Oryzias latipes: one gene and its partners. The protein of the gene in region 3 purifies or fractionates together with the protein of the main gene of each other region. This does not show direct contact. Links are inferred from orthologs where the notes say so. Each region holds a gene or a part of one and is shown on either strand. Other genes may lie near its edges. The genes, in order: ss18, CCAAT/enhancer-binding protein beta, probable global transcription activator SNF2L2, bcl7b and hdac2.

Region 1 (3,587 bases), on a different chromosome or scaffold from region 3:
CGTCAGGTCTTTGATTAAAAAAATAAAATTAAATCAGACTTTTCATAAAGTAAAGATGTTTTTGACTGTTGATCATCTTAGGTGCCTTAACTTTGCATTGTTTCCTTAAAAGTACTCTTAAACTACTTCCAGTCAACTCAAAAACAACTACGGTAGGAAAACCCTTACAATTAAAAATAAACATTCATGATTAACTTCAATCATTTGAAAAAGCTAGACAAAGCACTGCTGGTTTGTCCTTTTCATTAATGAAATCACAATATTTGAATTTTTGTCCCTGAAAATACTCAAAATCACAAAAGAATAGCTGAAAATTTTGTTTTGTAGAAATTTAAATTACTAAATGTTTAGATTGTGCAAAAACAAATGGGAACTAAATTGAGAGGCAAGATATTTGTTTGGCAGCACAGGCGCATCACCTGGAGCCCCAGTTTTGAGGAGATCACATGTACCGCTACACCCCAACAATCGCAGCTTCATCACAAGCACATTGTTCGTCGAGTGTTAAAGTTTGAGGAGACGTCTCACTACAGACTACGCATGCTTTTGTTTTGGGACCTCATTTCTGACAATTCGACCCCTGGTTAAAACAACAACAGTAGAGTTAAACAGAAATGGAAGAACTTAAAAAAGGTTGAATCAAAAAATAAAAAAAGAGAAGAAGAGGACAGATAGAAGAAACATTAGAAAATGCAAATTAACTCTAGGTGGTCAAGTGTCTAGATTGGACCCTGAGGTCTTCACAGCAACCATTACCTTTGCTTCTTACAGAGCTAGTCAGGGGTTCAAATCCCCGCTTCCTTATTTCCTCATGTGCCCCTGAATGTTCAAAGATAAAGATATCAACGTGTAGCTCTGGTCCCCACAGAAGACCATGGGAAATACAGGGCAGAAAACGGATTGCACTTTAAACAATGGAGCAAACTGACTCAAGTTTAAGGAAGAATCCTATTTAAAGCCCTGGTATTTCAAAGGAGGCACACCACATGAACCAGAAGAAATAACCAACACTACGGTTAACATTTCAAACACAGCAGCAGCATATACAATCTTCTGGAACAAACAGACTCAACCACCCAATAGGATGTTTGCATGCATAACACAACATGATTCTTGACTTTAAACTTCATTGTCTGTGGTTTCACTGAGAGCTAGAAAAGCATTTTTTCTGGCAATAAACTTGTTTAATTTGTAAGAAAATCGGAATTCCAAACAATCCGGTGACTGCTGCTATACTCACCTGGTCGTAACTGTACGGGCGCTGCTGCTGGCCCTGAGGGGGTCCGGGCTGGGGAGGACGGTAGCCCCCATACTGTTGGCCCTGCCCCTGCGGATAGTTAGGGTACTGTCCCGGAGCACTTTGGGAGGGGCCTAAAGTGAGCACAAACAGATGTAAGGTGGCGCTCTTAAAAGGACGGCTAACTGAAAAACCAACACATTCCATTTCTGATAAACCAAAAGTCTTAATTTTGTCAGTCTGAACCAAAGGACTAGTTGTTCAGCTAAAATAGGGGTCTAAACGTGACTTTTCCACCTCCGTTGTGGATCCCTGGTTAAAGAAAAACAACAAGCTTTTAATATAAGTGACTATAAAGTTAGAAGTAAACTTTATTCAACTCATTCACAGACAGTTGAAGGACAGTATGCATCACTCAGTGAGAAACCTGACTACAGTACCCATAATGCTCCAACAATAAAAGCAATTCGGACACCATGTTCACTACTTTCTTTTTGAAGCCTTATTCTTCTGAATGGTGAAGTGAGAAATTGACCCAAGTGACAATATATTAGGTTAGTATCTATAAAATGTGTGTAAGTATCCCTAAAGTTGTATCTTTTAACACTAACAAAAGAAAAAAAGCAATAAAAATAATTTTCAACAAATATTGACTTTATTTAGCCACAGAAACCCAGTTATAGTCTAAAAGAAAAAAGCTTAAAGTGCCTGAAATAAAAAAATCTATCAGTCCTTATTTAAAATAGAAACATTCTGACCAACTGAACCATTTGATGCTGAGAAAAATAATTTAGTCAATCAATAATATTAAATGTAAATTGATCTGAAACATTAACAGAGCAGCACCAATATATTTAACCTTTTTAGTCTGTAGAGATAGATAAAAACATTGTGCTGATGTTTTTCTAAATGATGGATTGTTTATTTATGATCTCATAAAGTGCAGCGGTTTTCCTGCATTACCTGCTGTCTTTATTTCAAATACTGACACCAACTAAACGACAGGCAGACAAAAAATACATTTATGAAAAATAAAGATGTCATCAAAATATCTATAACAGTTAATGAAGGATGACATTATTAGCATGAACTGAGTAATCTAAAAGCATGTGATGATCCTGGTGGTGCTAATCCAGGCAGTGCTTGCAGCTCTCCGCGTGCCCCATTTCACCTGGCAGCCTGAGCCTACTACCCCTCCCCTTTCGTTCTCACACACGCGTGTGACAGGAGACGGGAGCGCGCAGCTGCAGGGACGGGGATTCAAAAGTTTCAGGCTGTTACAAACTCTGTGTGTGATTTAACAGACAATAGGAACCGAATAGTGGCGCAGATTTTTTCCTCGCACTGAGCCGCTGTCGTCACCACCCCCATGTTAAATTTGCGCCCCGGACATTTGCCCGTATTACCTGTGCCTAAAACCGCCACTACCGCGCGCCCCTCCTGGCATCGCATCGGCGTGTCCCACTATTTGAGAAGCACTGCTTTATAGCAAGGATCAACCGACAGAAGAATATCAAATATTTGCCTAGGCTGCTTCTGAAACATGTTAGCAAGTTATGGATGCAACCAAATGAGTCACACTGAGGTCAGGGAGCAGTTACACATAAAAAAAAAAACAAGCTAAAGAAAATAAATATGTATATATGTATAAAGAGAGAGAGAGACCTATTTATAATCCAGCTCTGTACACAGGAGCCATCTTTGCCGATACTGTGAAGGACCGAGCAAACTAGACTTGGGTGGAAGTCAAATGAGGCCCACGCAGCATCGTTAGGCCCTCCTAATGCCTTATGCTGCTGTGCATAACCTTGTGGGAGCCTGAGAGAGCAGGCGTGTGTATGTGCCAGATGGATCTCACCTCACAGCCTCGGCATCTCAGCTGGCTCATTAATAACTACAGCTCTGGCTCACAAAGAGGGCAACTGACAGAAAGTTCTAGAGAAAACTGCCACAAAGAGAAATCCCTTAAGAGCTCCTGCAAGTAAACCCACACTTCAAATGATATCAGATCCTGATTAAATCATGTTTATTTCTATACTCTTTTTTTTGTTTTTTTTAAGTAAATGCTTAAACCCGGATAGCCTATTGACGCGTACAGGTGCAACAGGCTATCCAGGGCGATGGAGGATCGTAGAGAGGAGCGGCTGCGTCTTAAGGCGAGCACATGTGTGTCCTGAGGCCATCTTAAGGGATGTCATGAGAGCGGAATGTACGATTTCCCTGCGTGTTGGGAAGTGTACTGTCAAGTTTTTGTAAGGATAATGCAAGTTCCACACACTTAGAGCGACCTAACCCCGCACTCTAGTCTTCAGCAAGGTGCGCGTCCTGGCTCCTTACTAACCGCACGCAA
Region 2 (3,333 bases), on a different chromosome or scaffold from region 3:
GTGTAACATGTCACAGGAAAAATTTGAATGCTGATCCAGAATGACATCTCAGATGAAAACGTTGTCTGTATGTGACGCTATAGGAAGAGAAGGGAGCACTCCCATGGAGGCACTACAGATGTCATCTGTCATTCTGTTTGATGGAGCTGCCTGACAGGGAGCTGAAAGTAAAATGCAAACATCGAAGAAAAGTTGGAAGCAAAGGGAAAACTTCAAACTGTTTCAAAGCAGTTTTAATGGAGCAAGAATTAAACTTAAGCCAAAAAAAAAGGTTTTTCACTCAAACAACAAAAAAATGTATACATTATCAATTTAATCCCTTTGATTTATGTGCGATTATATTCAAACATCAGCCAGGCCTGATGTTAAAAGCCTTTAGATACCATTTGGAGTTTTTTTTTCTCTCCAGTACAGTCTTGTCATGATATTCTGCACCGACCGCTTCCTAACATGCAAGTCATGGTGACTTCAAATGGAAAGTGACTACCTCTGTTTTCTTCAGCAAATCACACAAGAAATGTCACACACGTGTCTTAAAATATGCAAAAGATGCTCGAAGCACCAAATTGACAAGTGCTTGACAAGTAATTTTCTAAATACTCTTAGCCACACGGTGGCAGTAAATCCCAATTTGCAAACCAGTTTCTCACCAATAAATAAATTGTAGGTATTTCTTCTCAATCTACGTGCACGTTTAAAGCAAACGTGTAATTCTTATCTGATCTTATTCAGAGTCAGTTTATTTTTGGGGCCTCATGATTGTCCAGGAGAGGCTTCTATTTTGTTCTTGCTGTGAGTCATTGGGTCATGCTTGAAGTCATGTTGTGGGATAACACTGATCCCACGAGACAGTCACATCTGTCTTTGACGACAGTGAAATGTTTCTGACACAAACCAGCACAGTGATGGATGGGGATGTGTGCATCACTTCCACAACTGTTCATTTTTGTTTTGGAAATAATGTGTTCAGAGATGTTTTGATTACAACTGAATGTGATTTTCTGCTGCAGGAGTTAAGGAAATGTGTCCAGAAAGGAGCAAAGTAATTATTTATAATAACTTGTATTGATGCTTACTGACAAACAATGAAAGACTTCACTTTAAATAGACAACAAGTCAAGTTCAGGTTTTCGTTTGTCCCGACATAAACAGATGAATGCGGGAAACGTTCTCCAAAGTGGAACAGGTTGTTCGCTGACAGGCTCCGCTCGTCACACCTGCCCTGTTAGGCCCCGCCCCCCGCGCTGTGGAATAAAACCCTCTCGAGACAGGAAGGTCTGTCAATTCCTCCCAATCCGCCACAGAAAAAAAAAGTTGCTTCTTGTTGTTGCCACATGAAGTGACGCGGGTGCTTTCAGCTCGCTGCATTCCGACACGTTTTCTCCAGTTACTCAGCTGAACTTGAAGAACTCGGGGCGCCTCACCTCAGCCCTGCCCGCTCCTGCAGTCCGGCGGGAGTGCAGATCCATGGAAGTGGCCGGCTTGTACGAGGAGGGAAGCTTTGCTATCCACGGCAGAGACGGTATCATCAGTCCCATCGTCGGCGGCTCGTACTGGCGGCTCGGTGACTCGATGACGGAGCTGGGCATTGAGGAGCGGGAGAGAGCGATAGACCTGAGCGTTTACCTGGACCCAGCCTTCCACTGCGCGCAGCTGGCGGCGCAGACGCAGCCGCAGGGGGACGCGTACTCTGACTTTCTGGCGGAGAGCAAGATCAAGAGAGTCTCAGCTCTCCAGAGCTACAGGAACTACTCTTTGCTGGGCGAGCTGGAGTCGAGCCAGTGCGACCCCCGGCAGCCCTACTCGCTGGGCTACTCGGAGCTGCAGGAGACGCGCGCGGACAGCGTCCTGAGCCCCGAACTGAGCCGCTACAGAACCGCCGCCGCAGCCGCCGACAGAGACGACAACCTGGAAGACGCCAAGATGGAGAACGGCTCGTCCGGGTTCGACATGAGGTCCTATCTTCATTACCAGTCCACCAGCAGCAGTCTGGGGAACATCTCCACTGCGTCCTCCACCTGCTCCAGCCCGCCCGGCACACCTGCGCCCTCAGGTAAAGGCAGGTCACCGTCTCACGGCGGCAAGGGGAGCAGCGGGAAGTCTAAAAAACGATTGGACAAGGACAGTGAAGAGTACAAGCTGAGGAGGGAGAGGAACAACCTCGCCGTGAGGAAGAGCAGGGACAAAGCCAAAATGCGCAACTTGGAGACTCAACACAAAGTGCTGGAACTGGCCGCGGAGAACGACCGTTTACAAAAGCGCGTGGAGCAGCTGTCTAGGGAGCTGGCCACGCTGCGCAACCTGCTCTCAGCAACTGGACAATGTTAGGTACCCCCCTCCCACGAGAGAACCCCCCTGTGCCGCTCCCTCAAGTGGACTGGAGAGTGCACGGTGATCCAAACGGTACACAGGTGAAGGCGGCCATCCCCAGTTTACAATGGACACTGAATAAGACTGAACAAGTGGGTGCATGGATTGCGCAACCGTTCACCACTCTTTACATGTCACTGTGGCTTTTTCCTCACATGTAATGTTTGTGTATGCAGTATTTCTGTGCAGGTTTTACATACATACATTCATACCCTTGAATTTCTAGATTTTTGTGTGTGTGTGTGTGTGTGTGTGTGTCTGCAGCAATGGCTGTCAACGGGGAGAGTTGTGCTGCAGTGAAATGATGCAACTCTTTGTAATAGTATTGGCAATGAATGAAATAAGTCTAATTATTTAAGATTTAAAAAGGTGAAATGCTTTAATTGTACTTGACATTGGATTAAATAGATTTATACTTTGTTTAAAGGAATTTGCACGCTCTTTTCTGTCCTTTCCTCCGCAGGTTTAGGGTGCAGACAGGCACACAGACATGGGCGTTCACACTCAGACTCACACTTAATCCGTTACAGCATATTGCGTTGAGGAAAACGGCTGTTTTTATAATCCAGGTTTGCGTAAAATAAACTACAAATCACGAAAAGAATCCTACAGGCCTTTAAATATTTGAACCTTTGTTGCACAAAACGTTATTAATTAATCATACGTATTTCATTATAAAGTAGAAAATATAGTTCTCTGTAGTTAAAAAGCTTTAAAAAATATAGTTTGGAATCTTTTTAGTCATTGGTTTTTGTCAAATTGCACTTAAAACAAACATCTCTTGCAGATAACCTTTTACACAAAACACAACCTAACTCCTCACACTCTTTTTTTTCCTCTTTTTAAACAGGTTCATTTTCGTTTCTGTTTATTTTAAATAATTGACGCATTCTCCCAAGGGTCCTAAAATAAATCAAACCCATTTATGCTGAAATGATACTGCTGAGAGGGCAGAAAAGAGTC
Region 3 (3,587 bases):
ACAGGCTGACGCTGAAACAGTGAAACTATGAAACTGGCTGACGCTGAAACAGTGTTACTATGAAACAGGCTGACGCTGAAACAGTTTAGCTATGAAACAGTCTGACGCTGAAACAGTGAAACTATGAAACAGGCTGACGCTGAAACAGTGTAACTATGAAACCGGCTGATGCTGAATCAGTTTAAATATGAAACAGGCTGACGCTGAAACAGTGTAACAATGAAACAGGCTGACGCTGAAACAGTGTTACTATGAAACAGGCTGACGCTGAAAGAGTGTAACTATGAAACAGGCTGACACTGAAACAGTGTAACAATGAAACAAGCTGACGCCGAAACAGTGTAACTATGAAACAGGCTGATGCTGAATCAGTCTAACTATTAAACAGGCTGACGCTGAAACAGTGTAACAATGAAACAGGATGACGCTGAAACAGTGTTACTATGAAACAGGCTGACACTGAAACAGTGTAACAATGAAACAAGCTGACGCCGAAACAGTGTAACTATGAAACAGGCTTACGCTGAAACAATGTTACTATGAAACAGGCTGACGCTGAAACAGTTTAACTATGAAACAGGCTGATGCTGAAACAGTGTTACTATAAAACAGGCTGACGCTGAAACAGTGTTACTATGAAACAGGCGGACGCTGAAACAGTGTAACTATGAAACAGGCTGATGCTGAAACAGTCTAACTATGAAACACGCTGACGCTAAAGCAGGCTGACACTGAAACAGTGTTACTATGAAACAGGCTGACGCTGAAACAGTGAAACTATGAAACAGGCTGACGCTGAAACAGTGTTACTATGAAACAGGCGGACGCTGAAACAGTGTAACTATGAAACAGGCTGATGCTGAAACAGTCTAACTATGAAACACGCTGACGCTAAAGCAGGCTGACACTGAAACAGTGTTACTATGAAACAGGCTGACGCTGAAACAGTGTAACTATGAAACAGGCTGATGCTGAAACAGGGTAAAGAAGTCTTGTAGAATCAGAATTCTGAAGTCAGTCTTAACTTGAGGTGTGCTTTGCTGAAGCTGAGGCAGGACGTGGTGGCGTGCATGAGGCGGGACACCACCCTGGAGACGGCGCTCAACTCGAAAGCTTACCGACGCAGCAAGCGGCAGACTCTGAGGGAGGCCCGCATGACGGAGAAGCTGGAGAAGCAGCAGAAGCTGGAGCAGGAGAAGAAGCGCAGGCAGAAACACCAGGTGATCGACGCTGGCGTGCACCGGCCCGTGGCCGCCACGAGCTCCTGGGTTTGTCACCTTCATGATGCGCTTTGTGTTCTTTCAGGAATACCTCAACAGCATTCTGCAGCATGCCAAGGACTTCAAAGAGTATCACCGCTCGGTTTCCGGCAAAATCCAGAAAATCACCAGATCCGTTGCCACGTGGCACACTAACACGGAGCGGGAGCAGAAGAAGGAGACGGAGAGGATCGAGAAGGAGAGGATGAGGAGGCTGATGGTGAGGAGTCATGTGGACTTCAGTCCATGTCAGAAACGGAAACCTTGTTTGCATGGCGGCCATCTTTGTTTGAAAGAATCCATGATCAAAGCGATGTTCTGTTGGAAGAGACACGCCCACTGTGGAAAGCTTTCATTCAGCGTGAAGTTCAGTCTGTGATGGAAATGAGGCTGGAAAAGCAAAGATTATTGCTCTGTAACTGTTCCACTGAGGAGAAGCCATGAAACAAACAAGGAAGAGAGGAATAGAAGACAATTACGAAAAGAGTTTCTCATGAGGGTTCAGCCTGATACCGTTCTGACCTTCTGTTGCTGTCTCTTCCAGGCTGAGGATGAGGAGGGGTACAGAAAACTGATTGATCAGAAGAAAGACAAGCGTCTGGCCTACCTGCTGCAGCAGACGGATGAATATGTGGCCAACCTCACTGCTCTGGTTTACGAGCATAAGGCTGCTCAGGCTGCCAAGGAGAAGAAGAGGAAGAAGAAGAGAAAGAAGGTATGACGAAGAGGCTCACGTTGGTCCCTCACTGTATGTTTCTGTTGCAGGTGGACGCCCTGCTGGTGTTCAGATCTTTGAATTCTTTCCCCGCTTGTTGCAGCAGAGCCCCCGACTTTCAGTACTAAAAGCAAAACATCATCTGGATATATTTCCTCTAGTTTTGTCAGGAAACCCCCAACGCGCTCTCTGGTTTCTATGAAGCTCAGCTTTCAGTCGTTCATATTTTTAAATCAAAGTTTGTTTGCTTGCTCTTAAAAAGGTGAATCTTTGATGTGATCAAACTGCTGATGTCTGTGTGGTCTGTGCAGAAGGTGGACGGAGACGGTGAAGGCACCAGCGCCTTTGGACTGGATGGAGAGGTGTGCTGCTAATGCTTCTTTTCTGCATGGGGGGGTTGAAAATAGCGTCAGGAAAGCAGCGTTTCTCCTTCCAGACGGCGTCTCAGCCCCAGAGGAGGCCATGATGGCACCTTTTAGGAAGACCAGTGCCTCCCTGTGATCTAAGATTCAGGCGTTAAAATGTGGGGTTGGGGAAAACCAGAGGAGGAGGAGGGCTTTGGAGATGAAGGCTCCTCTTTTTTACCTCCTTTTCTTGTCTTGCAGCCCATTGATGAGAGCAGCCAAATGAGCGAGCTTCCTGTCAAAGTGATTCAGACCGAGACCGGGAAGGTCCTACAGGGAACCGACGCCCCCAAGTCCAGCCAGCTGGAGGCTTGGCTGGAGATGAACCCTGGGTGAGACGCTCCACCACTGCAGCTGTAATGATCCAAAATCCCACCCGCCCCCTGCAGAGAAGATTCAGGGGGGTTCTGCTGGCGGGTTTCTGTTAAAAACACGGCTCCTTCAGTCAAAGGAAAAACATTTTGTCTTTGTTTAACCGCACTCGCACAGTTTGAATCTGTCAGCCGCAGGATTTCTCCTGGATAGGAAACCTTCACGGTTCAGTGTTCCCTCGTTTATCGTGGGAGTTACATTCTATACATAACCCACCGTCGGATGGATTCGTTTTTATTTTTACAATAATTCTAGATGTTTTAAGGCTGTTGAACTTATCATTACACTTTTTTCAGACAGACATGAACATTTTCATACTTTTCTCTCTTGTTTAAACTGTCAAACGGCCGGTATTAGAATGAAAACAGAGATCTGATCAAAATTGAAGATTTATGTAGATTTGGAAAAGTGAAAAAGTCTGTACAGGAGACTAATTAACACTAGCCAATGGAAACACTGCACTGTAAAAAAAAACATGTAAAAACTGTAAAAAAAAAAAATCCACGAGACTGCAAAAGGTGAACCGTTATAAAGCAAAGGGAACGCCATTTTCCTGCATTTGATCTTACTTTTGACCTGAAGCTCTTTGTCTTATACCATCGTCTGGATAAATTCTCGATTCTGATTGGCTGCTGTGTTTGCATTAAAAAATGATAATCCACAGTGATATCACCTAAAAAAGTAGTTCCGGTCACAAAGCTTAAATGCTTCTTTAAAACAAACTTTTTCTTCATCTACAGAGAAAAAACTGACAAAGACTTAAAATAATGTTTAGAACAATCTCCTTTTAGAGTCACAACGACACTAAAATGAGCTCCACATGAACTAAAACAGGAG
Region 4 (4,115 bases), on a different chromosome or scaffold from region 3:
AACACCTGACATGTTTTCTGTGAGGTTTAATTGTAGATTTAAATATTTGAACACAGACAAACACATATTTATTTATATTTATAACACGCGTCCTCGTGTATTTTCTAACAGGGTCATATTTACGTAGCTCTGGACATGTTAGAAAACATCTTCCCTCAAAATAATCATTTGTGGCCATGAATTTGTATTTTGTGTGCACAAATTAGCATTTTGAAGCCACATTTTGGTAATTCATGGCCACAAATCAGCATTTTCTAAACATTTGTTGTGGGCACAAAGTAGCATTAATAGGAAAAAGGTTAGTACACAAGTTTGAAGGTAGCATTTTGTGTGTACAAATAAGCATTTTATTACTATTTTTTGCACACAAATTAGCATTTGCACAAATGTACAAACTGGCAAATTGTAGTCGGACAGTAGCGTTTTGTGGCCACAAATTAGCCTTCCGTTATAACAACTTAGCATTTTATGAGAACAAATTAGTTTTGTGCAAACAAATTAGCATTTCATTAGCATTTTGTGGGCACGAAAAAGGATTTTATGGGCAATGTATGCATTTGGTTTGCACCAAATTTGTATTTTGTGCATACAAGTTTGCTGTGTACACAAAATTAGTATTTAGTGCACACAAATTAGAATTTTTTGGACACAAATGAGTATTTTGAGCAAACAAATTGGCATTAAATTGGCATTTGGTGGTCACATATTAGCATTCTGTATGAACATGTTCTTATCTTCTCAAAATTCGTATTTTGTGTGCACAAGTTGCAATTTATTAGCATTTTGTGCCCACAAATGAGAATTTGTGGGCATAAACTGCTACTTTGTGTGCACAAATTCGCACTTTGTGGACACAAATAGTATTTTGTCTTCACAATTTGTGGACACAAATTTATATTTTGTGGGCACAAGTTGGTATTTTTACAACACTCGGTGGGCGTAAATGAGTAGGCCTAGTTTGTGTGCGCAAATGAGCATTTATTACACACAAATTAACATTTTGTGTTTACAAAATAACATCATGATGTACGCACATCTACATGCACAAATTGGTGTTGTGTGCACAAATTTCTAATTAGCTAATCCGAGGCCACAAATTATTAATTTGAGGGAACCATTGGTCTTTTTTGTGCCATGTACAGGGCTTCGTACATATTTTATTATTTCCTGAAACGTTCAAAACTATCCCACGCACTTCGAACACACTATAACTTACATTATCGGTACATGACTGAGCACAAAACCTCAAGATTACAGAAAACGAGGAGGTCCAAGTATCGCGAGATTTATCCCTCTGGGAGGATCGGGGCTTGAAGTTTCAGATGCATCGGTAGATGAATCATAACGGGATCAAGATGTCTGGACGATCAGGCCGCGCTGAGACCCGAAGTCGGGCCAAAGACGACATCAAAAAGGTCCTGGCGGCCATCGAGAAAGTGCGCAAATGGTATGTAAACTGCGCGGCGCAAAAAGGGCATGAAAATCGAGACCGCGGCGCGATATCTTGCTGCGTAGCTCAACAAACTTCAGTCGGGAAAGTTGGATGATTGACAAGGCTTTCGACCAACCAGCGCGCCCGTTTGACAGAGGAGGCGGGGCTAGTTGAGTTTTTCCGCCGACAGCTGTCAATATGGCTCCAGCAGCTTCACATGCGGCGGCTTGAGAAGTCGGCGAGCCTCCTGAGAGCTGCATTGCTGTGGAAATCAGACACTAACGCGTTACATTGAATTTCCTCCATTCTGCTGTGCACGGAGAAGTAGAGGGTTTTGATCAGATATTAGCTCCGCTGCACCGGACTATGAAAACACGCGTGACTAATAAATGCGTTCATTTCTCTATTATTATTACGACGCCCTGAAATCTAGCAGCTGCTAGGAGATTTCCCCATGATCCAACGTACATTTCTCCTCAGGGAGAAGAAATGGGTGACGGTTGGAGACACGTCCCTGCGCATATTCAAGTGGGTTCCAGTCACTGAAACGAAACAGGTGTGAGCCTCAGTCAATAAAACACACAGAGACCTGTGTCACGACCTGCATCCTCCTGATGGGTTTCATCCTCTTTCCAGATCTTTCGGACCAAATCTACGGGTGGAGACGTTAGGGGACTGAAGGATGTGGTTCTGGAAAACACCAACTCTTTGCTGGATTTCACAGGTAGCCTGAGGATTCCTAAAGAACATTTTCTTTATCATTCATATCTTGGATCAATTGGGTTTGATTTAACCAGATCAAAGTGATCCTCCATTCCAAGGGTTTCATGATTGTTCCAAACGTCTGCTCTTAGATGACAACAGCAATCAAAGCTTCATGTCAGACGTTTATCAACCAAAAATGGACAACAGCAGCAGCAACTCCAGCTCCCAGCAGGTCAGCCCCCCGCATACCTTCAGCCTCCGAGCGGAGGACTCCCAGCCGCCCATGCTGGGCCAGGAGAGTGTGGATGGTATGTAAATAAAACCATGTCCAGAACTGTCATTAAAATCCTGTTTTTGGTGTTTCTAACATGTTCTTGTTGCATTTTTCTGATGATGGCCATGTATAAACAATTATAGCTTAAAACTGCATTTCTGAGTATTTTTTTATTCAAACTGTGAATCAGGAGCAGATAAAAAAAAAAAAAGTGGTGGAGGATAAAGCTCCCTGCTCTGCTCCATTTCGATGCATCCACAATCATATCCATGTTCGCCTTTGTTCTCCTTGTCCAAGCTGGCTGGATGCTCCAATGTTGCTCACCAGTTTCACCTGTAATGTTTTGTTGGGGTTGTAGGGGGCTGTAAGCTACTGGGAGTGAGTGTAAACAAAGGAGATGATGGGAAATTACTCTGCGCCAGTGGTCCCGCCCACAACTCAGAAGAATTCCTAATGAACTGCTGCTGCTCTGCAGAAACTCTCCTAAGAAACAATACAAGTTTTTTTTTTTGTGTGTGTGGCTAAAAATAGCATAATAATAATTAAAAGACCACTGGGAACACTGAAAATAGATCAGAAGATGACTTTAAATGAATAAAAACAAAATCTCTTCCTAACTTAATGACACAGTGTCTTCTCTCTCTTGATGCAGAACCAGTCCATTTGGGACAGGAAGGTGCAGATGAGCCACCTACTCTTATTAAAGAGGACCCTCTCTCATCTGGAGCCATCAAACGGGGAGCTTCAGATATACAGGTTTCTCTTCGACAGCTTCCAAGACAAACTCAAGCACATCTTCATGAAATACAGTGGTCCCCTTAGTATATTGCGCTTGGAATAAAAGAGTGTAATTCTGCGTGTTGTTCTTTCTAACAGCGTATCGTGTTCTGCCCCCTCATTGGCTCTTGACAACGGTCAATCAATCTCCTCCATGCACTATCTCCTAAGCAGTCTGTTTGAAAAATGGGCACAAATCTTCAATTGTGATCAGATGTTTGCTTTCCGTCTATGATCCTTTACATACTTTTCTGGGAAGGTTTGAACTTTGAGAGTTTAAGCAAGAGAAAAAAACTGGGAAAATGTTCATTTCTGTCTGAGAAAATAGTATAAAGTGTAAAATAAAGATAAAGTCCCACTATCTGTCACACACCTAGGTGTGGGAAATTTGTTTTCCGCATTTGACCCATCCCCTGGGGGAGCGGTGAGCTGCCGACGAGCCGCGCTCGGGTGGTCCAAGCCAACCCCTTAATGTTGAGTGTCAAGCAGGGAGGCATTGGGTCCCATTTTTAAAGTCTTTGGTATAGTAAAGTGGTATAGTAGGCATTCCAGCCTTGAAACATCTGTAATGCTACTCTGTGGATTTCATCTATCGCAGCGATAAACGAGGGGACACTGTATCCCATTTCACGTCGAGTTAGTTATGTCCTGATAAGTTTTGAGGTGTAAATAGAAGCTGACATGTCTAACTTGTACTCTTGTCCAGCAGGAGGACCTACCGGTAGATGAATCGGGGGCACCGCCTTTGAAGAGGATTTGCAAAGGGGAAAATGCAGCGCTGAGATAGCTTTTGTACCACCTTTTTGTCCGTAATGCATAAGAAACCTGCTTGGATGTTGGGAAATTAACAACATTTTCAGAATTATGATGGGTTTCTTTTTACATGTTTATGCAAGTATTACTCATTACAGTTCAGCTGAGACTTTT
Region 5 (4,383 bases), on a different chromosome or scaffold from region 3:
TGTATCCTGTACAAAATGCTTCCTTAAGTTTGTCTGAACGTCAACAGAGCCCACTCACAGCGCTGCATCTGCTTGCTGAACTCGGACATGTTGTCTGGCCGTATGGATCTGAGGAACTTGATGTAGTCGTCACTGTGGTATTTGGTCATCTCGTCTGCGGTGGCTTTGTGTGGCCTCTGAAACCAGGAGAAAGGTGGAAGGGAAGAAACCAGAACTGAATGAAAGCAGGAGCGAACACAGAACTAAGAGCAAACCGCCAAGCTAAATCGACGTTTCCTAATGTCTGAAGTCTGCTGAGGATCAGGTCACATGGAGACACGCTCCTCACAGCAACAGAGCACAGGAAAACATACATAGATCTCCATTTTTCTGTAGAGGCCATAGTTCAGGAGGAGGTTGTGAGTCATGCGGATCCGATGTGGCTTCATGGGGTGTCCTTGTCCATAATAGTAGTTTCCAACATCACCTAGACACAAGAAAAACACAAAATCAATGATGCAGATTGCCAACATTAGCTCCACCAGCTTTTCTGATTCAACTGTTGGCATCTGTGTTGTTCCAACAGAGAACATGAGCAGCAAACGACAGAGGAAGACAACTCAGAGCACTGATCTGTGGAACAACCGAAGCTTCAGAACGATGACTCACATCCTCACCGTTATTTATTACTGCTCAGTAAACAAACCAGGAACAGTTTACAGCAGACAGAAAACGGGACTGATCCCTGTCCAACAAACTGGACCCTCCCAACCAAAATGTACTCTGACATCTCATAATGTCAGTTTATTCTTTACATTATGATTTCAGTCAGATTATTAAAATATGAAACCGCTCTAAACAAGTGCCAGTTCTAATGGGCTGAACTTTTATGACACTTATGTTCACGAAGATCTACATCTGCATCAGTAATCTAGTCATTTCAAAGTGATGTGCACGTCATTAGTGCACGTGGGACTGCTCTAAGCTAAATGTGACCGCAGAAAAAGGTGAAGTGAATTGCTTAAATGAACATGGTGTTTTTAACACGTTCTGGCAGCATTATTCTGAATATGAAGAAAATTAAACAGAAAATTGAATTTCCGAGTATTTCTTTGTTCAAACTGTTGTGAGTCAGGAGCGGATAAAAAATATGCAGTTGGGAATAGCTATAAGCAAGCCCCAAGCTCCCTGTTCTGTTCCACTCTAAAGGCCTGTTCACACCGGGACGAATTTCGCCGGCGATTTTCGCCGACGTTTAACGCCTCGTGACTAAACAAAGGGCACCAACGAGAGTGTGCACATCGACGCGAAAAAACGCCAGGCGTTAAAGCGTCCAAAAAAAAACGCCTCGGGTTCGTTTTTTTTTTCCGACGAAATCTACTCGACCAATGAGAACGGCGCTTTTGCTCACGTGTCTGGAGCTTCTGAAGTTACAGTAAAACACAACTTGGGGGCGCTCAAACACAAAACTGCCTTGCTGAGCACACATACCAGCGAAGAAGATAGACGCCAAGTAGCGTCTACACAGCCGCGAAGCAATAATGACGGACATTCTAAAACATCCCCGAACCAAGCACCAGTTGGAGCTACTGGTGCTTGAAATATTCATGTTTTCTTTGTTTGATTCTGACAAGCGTGTAAAAACTTGCTCTCTTCTTCTGAGTGAAAAGCGACTTTAAGAAGCGTAAAGTTGCGCAGCGCCACCTTGTGTACAGGAGTATTTCAGTTTTACATTAAGCGCCATCTAATGTCAGGGAATGAAATTGCATGTTCACTCCACTCATCGTCAGCGAAAATCGCCTGGGTGTGAACACAAAAAACGTGGCGAAAAACGCTGGCGAATAACGCCTGGCGAATATTCGTCCCGGTGTGTACGGGCCTTAAGGCATCCACCTGCAGACTAATGGATCCATGAACGTCTTTGTTTTCCTCGTCTGAGCTGGAATCGGGATAGATCTGATATTGGCCATCTTTTTTGTTGCACTGCTAATGTGAGGATGGGGTTGTGAGGGGCTGTAAGCTAGTGGTAGAGTAGAGTGTAAACGGGGGGGGGGGGGGGGGGTGCTCTGCATCAACAGTCCCACCCACAACTCAGAGGTTAATGCTCTGCAGAAACTATGTCCCAGAAAACAACACAGGTTTTTGATTTAAAAAAAAATAATAACTTAAAGCGATCGGACACGCTTGTGTTTGGACCTGAACGCAGGTTTAGAGCCACCCGGGGCTTCTGCAGACGGTCACGTGACGTGTAGGTGAGCCAGGCCGCGCGTGCTCGTCTGGAAGCAGTAGAGGCTGCCAGTCGTGTGTTCTGTGGATGGTTGCATTGTGGGACGGCAACCTCGTTAAAGACGTTAAAAGCTTTTCTCCTCATACGTTCCCGGATGTGGGTTCTCCTCGGTGGGATCTTGAAAGATCACAACAGAACGCCGGCTGAACTGCCTGGGTCTCAAACAAGACTGACGTACGTAGCCGTAACTCACACAACGAGGGGTGGAGACAGACGTGAGGCGCCGGCTACTTAACGTACAGTGCCCCCCTCAGATGTTGGCTTTACACCGTTTCAATGAAGCAGAAAAGACTTTAGCCCCGGAGAAATGAGTTCCGACCGTAACTGACCGATGCTAGCACATGCTCGATGCTAACAGCTAGCGTTAGCCTGGCTCGTGCGCCACACAGCAGCTCTTACCGTCGTAGTAGTAGCAGACCTTCTTCTTAGTTCCACCTGCAACCGTGTACGCCATGCTACAAGCTCCTTTAGCTCCACAGGTGAGGCTCAATTCGCGTTAACAGAAAGACAAGAGCTGGATGGAGAACATCTGCACGGCGTCGCTGAGTGGGAGGGGCTACGTGGGCTGGGCGGGGCAAGGTTGGGCTCCGCCCCTGCGCCCCACTTTAAGTTTCTTTGTCCTTGTTCTTTTGTTTTGCGTCTTTGGGGCAGGGCATCAACACATGATATGTGGATTGCCAGTTCTGTCTGTGGTAGTCTAGCCATGCCACCAGGAGATCATTTTAGTACAAGACTCTGCAACCTTCTACCCCAGTTTGAGCCTCTTCCTTCTGACAGACTCAGAGTCGCACAGCCCCACTTCACACTCAATTCATGCTTCAGGCACGTGAAAATCTCCTTTATCTGGACTTTGCTTTGCACTGTTGAACCTTATTTAAATTTGTTCTTCACCTCTGCTTCTTCAACTCCTCCCTCAAAGCCACAAAGCCCTTTTTTTTTTACTTACACCACTTGGTCCTCTGCTCTGGCCTTGTCCTCGTCTATGGAGTGATTTATGTGTCCCATTATTCCAAGCGTACTTGAAATACTTGAAATATTTTGTGTGCTCAAAAATATTTTGCACTTGAAACATAAAAATGCACTTGAGACTCAAAAATAAGTGCAAACAAAACAGTTTTACTCTTGAAACCTAAAAATATGTCCAATCAAAACAATTCTCTATGTGTCACAAAAGCCAGTTAATCACAGACATGGGCATAAAGTTTGATGCCGATTGGTCAGAAATTCTTCCAATCGCACACAGACCTGATCCAGTCTACGAGCCGTCTAAAGTCTACAGTTTTTGGGTTTTCTGGCCCGTCAAGAGTCGTAGAGAGGAGTGGCTGCTCCTTAAGATGTCTTGTAGTTCCCTTGAGGCTTGCACAACCACCTTAAAGGTTATTGTTTTGCATTTCGTAAGTACATGGTGAAGTATTTGTTAGGATAATGGAAGTTACAAACTGATGAGGTATGGGTGTTCTTGCTCAGGGGGGCGGAAAAAATGAAAAATCAACATGAAATGCCTGTGTCTTACATACTTCACCTGTGCCTGCCGTTGTGTGTTGTTAAAGTACCTGACGACCTGCCGCCCGCACCAGCCCGTAGAAAAACTGAGCATGAACATTCACTGAGTGGTCTACAATCTTGAAATTTCGTGCGGGCCGCCTGCTTGTCTCATACAGATTTGGCCCTTTTTCATCTGCAGACAGCCCGTGCCCACCCCTAAGAGCAGTTGGGACTAAGGCTTTAGCTTTCTCTTCTCAGCATCTACAGTCAAACTGGAGATTATTCATCCAATCAGGCAATTTGGGCTAAAAGATACTTTATTCCATCAGCAAGTTTCTTCTTTGTTGGAAATAATACAGATGTTAACCAGGAGCAGAACATTTTGCACTTGACTTGTCAGTCAAGCTGTAGCTCATGAAATCTCTTTTGCCACTGTGGTAGTACTTTCCAGAAAAAAAAAAATCTTAGAAAATACATAAAAGATTAGAAACCATGAGGAATACATGTTCATTTATCGCTCTTGGTTTTCTTAAACCAAGCTTTCATAAAATGTGAATAAGGATGTTTCAATAAAAATGGATTGGATGTTTCCAAACACTCAAAGTGCTTACAACATGTATCCATTATTCAGT

What was found.
Region 1: the proteins of probable global transcription activator SNF2L2 (region 3) and ss18 purify together in Homo sapiens (affinity purification with mass spectrometry; 6 studies listed by BioGRID and IntAct, counting the BioPlex papers as one, with this or other methods). This does not show direct contact. The link is inferred for Oryzias latipes from reciprocal best matches to the Homo sapiens genes SMARCA2 and SS18.
Region 2: the proteins of probable global transcription activator SNF2L2 (region 3) and CCAAT/enhancer-binding protein beta purify together in Homo sapiens (affinity purification with western blotting; 5 studies listed by BioGRID and IntAct, with this or other methods). This does not show direct contact. The link is inferred for Oryzias latipes from reciprocal best matches to the Homo sapiens genes SMARCA2 and CEBPB.
Region 4: the proteins of probable global transcription activator SNF2L2 (region 3) and bcl7b purify together in Homo sapiens (affinity purification with mass spectrometry; 3 studies listed by BioGRID, with this or other methods). This does not show direct contact. The link is inferred for Oryzias latipes from reciprocal best matches to the Homo sapiens genes SMARCA2 and BCL7B.
Region 5: the proteins of probable global transcription activator SNF2L2 (region 3) and hdac2 purify together in Homo sapiens (affinity purification with western blotting; 4 studies listed by BioGRID, with this or other methods). This does not show direct contact. The link is inferred for Oryzias latipes from reciprocal best matches to the Homo sapiens genes SMARCA2 and HDAC2.

The regions. Positions count from the first base shown.
Region 1 is NC_019875.2:25,752,148-25,755,734, forward strand, and holds part of ss18 (protein SSXT), read right to left. Parts: intron 1,372-3,587; coding exon 1,241-1,371; intron 820-1,240; coding exon of another isoform or gene 802-819; exon of another isoform or gene 757-801; intron 1-756. UniProt on the Homo sapiens protein: Appears to function synergistically with RBM14 as a transcriptional coactivator. Isoform 1 and isoform 2 function in nuclear receptor coactivation. Isoform 1 and isoform 2 function in general transcriptional coactivation.
Region 2 is NC_019865.2:21,871,251-21,874,583, reverse strand, and holds CCAAT/enhancer-binding protein beta, read left to right. Parts: upstream 1-1,271; 5' UTR 1,272-1,467; coding exon 1,468-2,328; 3' UTR 2,329-2,800; downstream 2,801-3,333. UniProt on the Homo sapiens protein: Important transcription factor regulating the expression of genes involved in immune and inflammatory responses. Also plays a significant role in adipogenesis, as well as in the gluconeogenic pathway, liver regeneration, and hematopoiesis.
Region 3 is NC_019867.2:1,047,514-1,051,100, reverse strand, and holds part of probable global transcription activator SNF2L2, read left to right. Parts: intron 1-1,046; coding exon 1,047-1,220; intron 1,221-1,305; coding exon 1,306-1,479; intron 1,480-1,803; coding exon 1,804-1,974; intron 1,975-2,285; coding exon 2,286-2,336; intron 2,337-2,579; coding exon 2,580-2,710; intron 2,711-3,587. UniProt on the Homo sapiens protein: ATPase involved in transcriptional activation and repression of select genes by chromatin remodeling (alteration of DNA-nucleosome topology).
Region 4 is NC_019871.2:22,450,599-22,454,713, forward strand, and holds the start of bcl7b (B-cell CLL/lymphoma 7 protein family member B), read left to right. Parts: upstream 1-1,285; 5' UTR 1,286-1,334; coding exon 1,335-1,447; intron 1,448-1,912; coding exon 1,913-1,988; intron 1,989-2,068; coding exon 2,069-2,156; intron 2,157-2,286; coding exon 2,287-2,445; intron 2,446-3,063; coding exon 3,064-3,167; intron 3,168-3,894; coding exon 3,895-3,975; 3' UTR 3,976-4,115. UniProt on the Homo sapiens protein: Positive regulator of apoptosis. Plays a role in the Wnt signaling pathway, negatively regulating the expression of Wnt signaling components CTNNB1 and HMGA1.
Region 5 is NC_019882.2:21,613,899-21,618,281, reverse strand, and holds the start of hdac2 (histone deacetylase 2), read right to left. Parts: upstream 2,841-4,383; 5' UTR 2,721-2,840; coding exon 2,666-2,720; intron 467-2,665; coding exon 354-466; intron 177-353; coding exon 59-176; intron 1-58. UniProt on the Homo sapiens protein: Histone deacetylase that catalyzes the deacetylation of lysine residues on the N-terminal part of the core histones (H2A, H2B, H3 and H4).